Linked DNA regions of Bombyx mori. The protein of the gene in region 1 interacts with the protein of each later gene in a pairwise test. Links are inferred from orthologs where the notes say so. Each region holds a gene or a part of one and is shown in the gene's direction. Other genes may lie near its edges. The genes, in order: hybrid signal transduction histidine kinase I and serine/threonine-protein kinase polo.

Region 1 (3,835 bases):
GCGGCATCATGATGATCGTAACTCTGAACAACAGGTTGAGATTGAACCTGGGACCGACCGTAATCGGGCCGCGCGGCATCACTCGGAATTCCATGTACCTGCGACCGACTGACCTGCCTGTCCATATCAGCGTAGTCATTCGATGGACTGGGTACGCTTTTACCTTTTCGATTCGCCCGTTTATTACCAAAACACAACAAAGTATGATGATATTTCTTACAATTATTGCATGTTAACTTTGATTGACATGCTTTTAATGTATGCGATAAGCTTAAACAATTGATGCAACCCTTGTGCGATTTAATAAAATCATAACGTGCTTGCGGTGAAATCATATTTTTAAATTCATTACAACGATATAACTGCGTGTGGTGCGAGCTCGAGCAAAGATCGCACGTAGATAACGAAACCGGTTTGTTAACCCTTTCAGTGCGGACTGGGTCATTATAACTACTAGAAATAAACGATTTGTGATTTTTAGATTTCTCTATGTTACACTTCGGTGCAGAGCGTTCTAATATTTTTATCTGATCCTGTATGAATTTAATAAACATTTCAGTTGTGGGTATTTCAATACCACGAACCGATGCTTCAAACGAATGTAAAGTTTGAGGATCCAACCTTCTCAGTGAGCATTGTAATAAAATAAAATCAGTCAAATCAAGTAAATTTAATTGTTTTAAAGCGGCAATCGAAGATGAAATTTTTTCAATATACATATTTAAACTATTTGCGGTAGGTGAACAATTTTTTAAATCTAATATATTATTCAGATAATGACATCCTAAAGCTCGTTTATCCTGATATTTACTAATTAGATTCGACCAAATAATATTATAAGTTTCACCTGTGGGTATTATACCAGCGGTTAACTTTAATGCACTATGTGTTAATTTGCCCATTAAATACTGCACACGTTGCGCATCAGACAGTTGCGGGTTATCGTGGATGTTAGCTTTAAAAGCCTGGTAAAATGTTTCCCATCCTTCAAGAGAGCGTCCGTCAAAGGAAGGAAGTGAAATTGTTGGCAATGTTACATTTATGGCGGCGGTAGTTCTCATTACATTTGACGAATTACCAATTGTAATTTTGTTACGAGCGCGTCTTACGTAATTATATAACGTGTCAAAAGACGATAAAGCTGCATATTCAGGCTCAACTTCGGGGTTTTGCTTTAAATTTAAATCATTGATATCATCCAAATTGCTTTCAAATCTAACACGCATGTCATCAATCGATTCTGATTCGGCAAGAAAAGTTTCAATTAATTCCGAATCAAACTCCGAAATATTTTTTGATTTATTATATAAATCATTAATTTGTGCAAATACTAAATTATTCTTCGCGATAAGTTTCTTTAGTTGTCTATTTTCCATAATGAAGTTATGAAATAACTGACTAAAAAATAACACTAAATGAACTACGTTAATAAATATAATTCAATATGCGGTTACGAGTTATTATTACTAATAGCGATGAATGTAATTAATTTTTACATACAATACAATACTGTAACAAAATGGCGAATGGGGGTAATCATAAATTAATCCTAATTTTAATTAAAATTTAAGCTGGATCTAATCCAGGCTCGCAGGACCAAACTATGGGGTAGCAAGGGGGCGTGTAAATAGCCCTCCTGCGGCGGGAGCATATAAAGCGGGGTTGTAGAAAGGCGTGTAAATAGCCGTCCTAAGCGGTATGTGACAAATGTTTGTCACTTATAATTAGCGGAGCGGTAAAACTATATAGCGGTAAACAAAAGCTAGTAATCAAACTAAAGATATAAATTAAATACACATAAGCGAGCGGGCGGGCGAATGATTACACGGAAACAGCAATAAAATGGCAATAAATTAAAAGAACTTGCACTCACCTGTAGACCTTGCCAGTGACTGTCGTGCGGGCGTCGGCGATGGAAGCACGCGGGCGGCGGGAGGGGGTGACGAAGCTCACGTAGCTTTTCGTAAGCTCAAGCACCACACAATATACAAGTGCCGCCATCTAGGCAGCTAGCGGTAAAGCGTGATCGATCGGGTAGAACCACGCTTTGGATAGTCGCGGTAATTAGTTACTGACAAACTCCAAAGGTGGCGCCATCCCAATAATTCATTAGCATCCCATTACTAAATCCGCGTGACCAATTATTATAACAGAAGAGTGTGGAACAGTGTAACTTTTACTTTATGTGCTGCGATCCCCATTCTACATATTTAACATTTTTTATTATTACTTTCAGGCAATCCAAACGACAAAGTTTTATATGGTCGACCGAACAAACGTCGCAGCGCTTCCTTCCCGGCCCCAAGATCTCTGGACCGGCGGCACTCTCTCCGCATCTTCGGCTCTTCCAGCAAGTACCTTCAGCGCTGCGCCTCTACCAGGAGTCTCCATCACAAACACGTTAATACGACTGACAGCTCTTCTTCCACCGATTATCCGCCTAGTGTTGAGTCCGCGTCGCCTAGTAAGTTAATTAAAAACTACATAATACAAACCTCATTGGTTTTTTCTAGGAGTTTCTTCAATCGTCGGCATGATTGTAGACTATTTCCTAATTAGTTTATTGTATTCATTTAAAAAAAATCCGCTTTTCGAAGTGTTAGGAAAGGACGACTGATTATTTATGAATTAAACGCGATATTAACCTATAAAAGTGCCTATGTATTAAATCACTATTGATTCTTAAGAATGCAGCGACCCTTTGGATCACTTTCGCTAGATAGGTTGGTAATATTGAATAAAAGGTTCATAAAAACACACTGAATTAAATGATCACAAGTCGAGTCGACCAGTCACATTTCTTTCAGTACTTATCTAAAGATATGTTTAGCCTCAACTTGAGTTTGCGCTTTGATCTTCGACTTCTTAGGTAATATTTTAAATAGTATTTTATATGTTCTGAAAAAACTTTATAAGTTAATTTTTTAGTTAAGCAAACGAAGTCACTGGTTACGCATAATTTCTTATAACACATTTATGTATATAGAAATGTTATATTTATTAACTTTATTTTATTTACTGATTCACCAAATATCAAATGCACTTTTTGTGTAGGTACGCCCTTGGCTAAAATAGCAGGTAAGTATGCATGACGTGCTTTGAACTGAACTTAACCAGTTATTAATGCGTTGGCTTAAAACGAAGTTTAAGCGGATTTGAAACAAAATTGGTTACCCGCCTACGGGTGTGGCCTTCGCAAACTACTACTATACAAATTCTATTCTATTTTTATATTTCTATTCATAATTCTAATTTTAAGTTAAGTTATAACAAAATTTCAATATGAGATTTCTTATTCGTAATTTCGATCCAAATAATGGTATGCCGATTTAAGTATGTCACTAGATAATGACCGAGCTTTGCTCGGCTTTTTTTTTTTTATAACGCTATCTTGTCGTGTCTTTAAAGCAGTAAAAATAGTATTCTTATTCGCCAATAGATGTCGGGAAGAGTCATAAAGTGGATTATCGATAAAGCTGATTATTGAAAACACGAATAAAACAACATTTTCTGAAAATAAATCGTAGTTAGATCGATTTATCGCCCCCGAAATCCCCTGTATACTAAATTTTATGAAAATCGTTGGAGCCGTTTCCGAGATTGCCCGTTTAAAGGTATAAGATTTAATTCATCGTCATTATGACGAATAATGTTTTTTTTTATTTGAGCTTACAATTTTTTTTCTGCCAATTCGCTAGTAGCCTAAGGGGCTATTTCAGTTTGCGCAAACAGACAAATTTCAATTGACAGATCAAACAAATTTATCGATCATTTAAAATCTATACCGAAAATTAAAAAGTACAATTCCACAATTAATTTCCTTTTCATGTAAAAT
Region 2 (4,279 bases), on another chromosome or scaffold:
GGCCCTTGGAACCATTTACGTAGTCGCTACGCGCGAACGTTAATCGACGATAACACCCTCAAACTACAATACAGGTGCATCATGGGGTGCTAGAGAAATATGGCACTTTATAATATATATTTGTCAACATAAAATTACTTAACGCTTATTCTTCCTTTTAAAATGACTTCAAAATATCCAACCAAATTCCTTTGATTCTATAAACTATTTGGCAAACATTAGTGCCATATTTTGACTTTTGCACCATCAAACTAGGGTGAAGGGTGATCATGATGTGCAGCTTTATGTATTGTGGATATTTCTAACGTCTGCTTAACTTACAACACAAGTCATACTTAGTCTTAGTAATGTAAAAAATGTTTCTAATTTCGAATCTAAATGTATTTCAATCTCAATCATTAAAATTTAAAACAGCACTAAGTTTAAAATTATTACTAGGAATTATTAATAACGCAATATTATAAAACAAACTATGTACTACTTACTATACTATATAATATGTTGAAACTGAATTAGGAAAATAATACTATTTGTATATAGAGTTCCTAATTCTAAGAGTTAAAGTAACTTTTTGTTATTAACTGAGAAATTTGGTCACTAGAGCCAACACTTCACTCGATTGTCAACCAGAGCCAGGCACCAGACTACAATGTGATCATTCGTGTTGTAGTCTGGTGCAGGCCTAGTGTTATAAAATTGACATCCCTGTTGGTATAGCTCTATGACTACTGTTCTTCTGGCCTTCTAATATAACAATTCCCTTGGTCTTCACGTTTGTCGATCTCGAACAATCAAATATATCTTCAGGATTCCGTCGTCGCTTCGCAAACCGGCGGCGTCCATGATTGTACTGCAGTTGCAATCGAACCCTGCGCGTCGTCCGTCCGTGGACAAACTTCTGCAGCATGAATTCTTCTCATCGGGGATTTTGCCAGCCGGGCTGCCCGTCTCTTGCCTCACCACAGCGCCGCGCACTGACCAGCTCGAGGGCATGCTGGTACACCGCCGCCCTCTTAACGAAGTTCATGCTAACGGTGCATATATTGTAATTTATTTAATCGCAGGCTAGACTTCGAGACTTTCTCCCTCATAAATTGATGAGGGAGAGTTCAATAATAATTAAAGAAATTATAGTTTTAAATGGTAAAATATCATCGCAGTTACGATGAACACTAAAGAATATGTCGGATATGCGCGGATCTTTATTAATGACCCGACAGACTTCGTAGTGCCTCAATCGATAAATAAAAAAAAGACCTAAACTTTTGCATAAAATAAACTTAAAACAAACAAAAGGAATCCGTTTGACGGGGTACACATCAAAGAAAAACAAAATTGTTATTTTTATTCAATTCTGAGCATTTTCATATTTAAACCTTCTCTGGACTTCCACAAATAATTCTAGACCAAAATTAGCCAAATCGGTCAAGCCGTTCTCGAGTTTTAGCGAGACTAACGAACAGCAATTCATTTTTATATATATAGATAGATAGATAGAAGATTCATTAAGGAGCACTTATGCACATCAAAATCTTCATAGAATCAAAAAAGCAGCATTTTTCTCCTTTTATAATTAGCTACTTTAAAATTCAACATAAATGAATTGACATTTATAATACGTACTTTCAATTGAATAGAACAAGAGACGATGGCAGTGGACTCGCCCGTCAAACGCGAAGCTACCCCCGCGGGGCCACGAGCTGTGGAACCAACGTCGCACCGCCAGAATTTTATTGCACTGCGAGACCAGCTCGCTGCATTGTTGGTTAACAAGGTAAAATATAGTTTTTTTTTATATTAATACTAGCGACCCGCCTTCGCTTCGCTTCGGAAACATTAAATTTTATTATTAATTAATAGCTGAGTCTCGCGATGTTACCCGCGGTTATTGTCGTACCGCGAGTGAGGCCGCGGGGCGAAGCTAGTCTTAAAAAAGTAGCCTAAGTTACTCCTTATATCATCAGCTACCTATCAGTGAAAGTCTCGTCAAAATGGTCTAGCCGTTCCAGAGATTAGCCGGAACAAACAGACCGACAAAAATTGTTAAAAATGTTATTTTGGTATATGTACCGTATATATATTCATATTATGCGCTTAGTAAAAAGCGGTTATTTCAATATTACAAATAGACACTCCAATTTTATTTATATGTATAGATGAGAAAAAATACCTATGGTCTAAATAACATTTAATAGGCTCTAGTTTTGAAATAGGGCAGGACCGTGCTATGAACTGGTATACGCTGATAACCTTATCATAAGTAGAAATAAATTGATAAACTCTTCATCTTATGGAACTTTTGTAACTTAATTATAAACAACTAGTTTGACTGTATGTTGGCATTTTCTATAACTTTTAGCTGAAATGCCGACCGGAGGCTCTGACAGACGAGCTGAGCGATCCCGCAGCACAGCCGCTGGTGTGGGTTGGCAAGTGGGTCGACTACAGCGACAAATACGGATTCGGATACCAGCTCTGCGACGAGAGCGTCGGTGTCATGTTCAACGATACTACCAAGCTTATCATGCTCGCTAATGGACTGTAAGTTTACGTTTAATATAAATATTAGATGATAATATCAGATATACATATTTTTAATTATATTATATTATAGTAGTATACAACAGGCGCTTGCAACAGTTTCGAACTCACTAAAATTCGAAATCACGTTCGAATCACTAAAGCTTAAAATAGTTTTTTTTTTTATATCTTTATAATGAGAATCAAAGTATAATATGTCATAAAACGAATGCATTGCACACTCAAAATTAGAATCAAATCATAGCTCACACAAACTTTAAACATATTTTGAAGAAAAAAAATTCGCAATACACTTTTTTATACAAGTGATAAGAATCCATAGACATCATAATATGTTAATAGCATATTCCTTGCGGCGTGATTCTCAATTGTTTTGTATTATGACTGTAATGTGCAGATTAGCAAGCAACAAAATCTTCATATTGCTATCTGAAAAAATAAAAGGAGATCTGCATAAACTATCCTTTTTCAGGAATGTGCACTACATCAATCGGCAGGGCCAAGAGCAGTACATGACGATGCGCGATTACCCGCAAGAACTCGACAAAAAAATGAAACTCCTTACATACTTTAGACGATACATGACCGAACATCTCATGAAAGCTGGTAAATTTTTCAACATCCATTGTCATCACTAAAGCATATAAATCAAATAGAATATTCAGAAAACAAAATGTGTGAGCAATAGTTTTCTTATGGCATGAGTAACTAATGTATTCATACTTAACAACAATGTTATCGCTTTTAAATAAATTTACCATTATCCAGGTGCTTCAGTACCAGTGCGAGAGAGTGATGGTCTGTCTCGTTTGCCACATTTACACCAGTGGTTTCGAACAACTTTAGCTGTTATTATGTACCTGACTAATGGAACTTTACAGGTTAGTAGAATTATATTTTAATGCTGTTGGCATATAATTTTTATTGATCTGTTATATTTCTTTCTCATCATGATTGTTTTTTTTTTCTAATATTACAGATAAACTTCCAAGATCACACAAAGATAATACTGTGTCCACTTATGCAAGCTGTCACCTACATAGATATAGAGAAGAATTTCAGAACATTCCGCTTTAATACCATTGAAGAGCATGGCTGTGATAAAAAGCTTTACACAAACCTCACATATGCATTGGAAAAACTAAACAGTGTATTGGCAAACAAACTGTGCTAGTTTTCACTGAACCTAAATGAGTAAATGAATTTGTGGGCTTTGTGGAAAGCTCCAATGAAGAACTGTGTAAACCAAGAGACCCTGCTTATGTAAATAGCAAAAAAGTTTGAAATCACTACAAATTTTCATCATTCTGTTCTTATTGATTGAGATAGTCTGTACTTGATAAAAAAAATCTTTACACTTAAATTTCCTAGGGTCTCCTACTTTTCTAAAATAAAAATTATATTACCTTTTGTATTTTTAGGATAGTCACCAGTATATTATAATTTAATAGAAGGGTCACTAAAATCAATTTTGTACCCTAAAATTTCAAACTTAGGTTAAAAATCCACCGATACTGTCTATTTATTTAGTAAATACTTTTTAATGATTTAGCATCAAATTATTTTGCCGATTCAGTATATGAGCAAAACTTTCGACTTTTTTTTTTATTCTTTAAATATGTGTCTTTGGTTGTTAATACATATTATATTCCATTTGATGCAAAACTTACTGACTTTGCCATTTCAGGGAATGATTTGATTTCTATCTACATATTTCTAAACATCTACAATAATTGAT

What was found.
Region 2: the proteins of hybrid signal transduction histidine kinase I (region 1) and serine/threonine-protein kinase polo interact in a two-hybrid assay, tested with the Drosophila melanogaster proteins (2 studies listed by BioGRID). The link is inferred for Bombyx mori from reciprocal best matches to the Drosophila melanogaster genes ko and polo.

Annotation. Positions count from the first base shown.
Region 1 is NC_085128.1:3,239,268-3,243,102, reverse strand, and holds part of hybrid signal transduction histidine kinase I, read left to right. Parts: intron 1-2,236; coding exon 2,237-2,464; intron 2,465-3,021; coding exon 3,022-3,078; intron 3,079-3,835.
Region 2 is NC_085121.1:12,624,899-12,629,177, forward strand, and holds the end of serine/threonine-protein kinase polo, read left to right. Parts: coding exon of another isoform or gene 1-74; intron 75-807; coding exon 808-1,034; intron 1,035-1,637; coding exon 1,638-1,774; intron 1,775-2,359; coding exon 2,360-2,541; intron 2,542-3,013; coding exon 3,014-3,147; intron 3,148-3,309; coding exon 3,310-3,422; intron 3,423-3,520; coding exon 3,521-3,715; downstream 3,716-4,279. UniProt on the Drosophila melanogaster protein: May play a role in regulating both nuclear and cytoplasmic aspects of the mitotic cycle. Regulates localization of the augmin complex during mitosis by ensuring its location on mitotic spindles.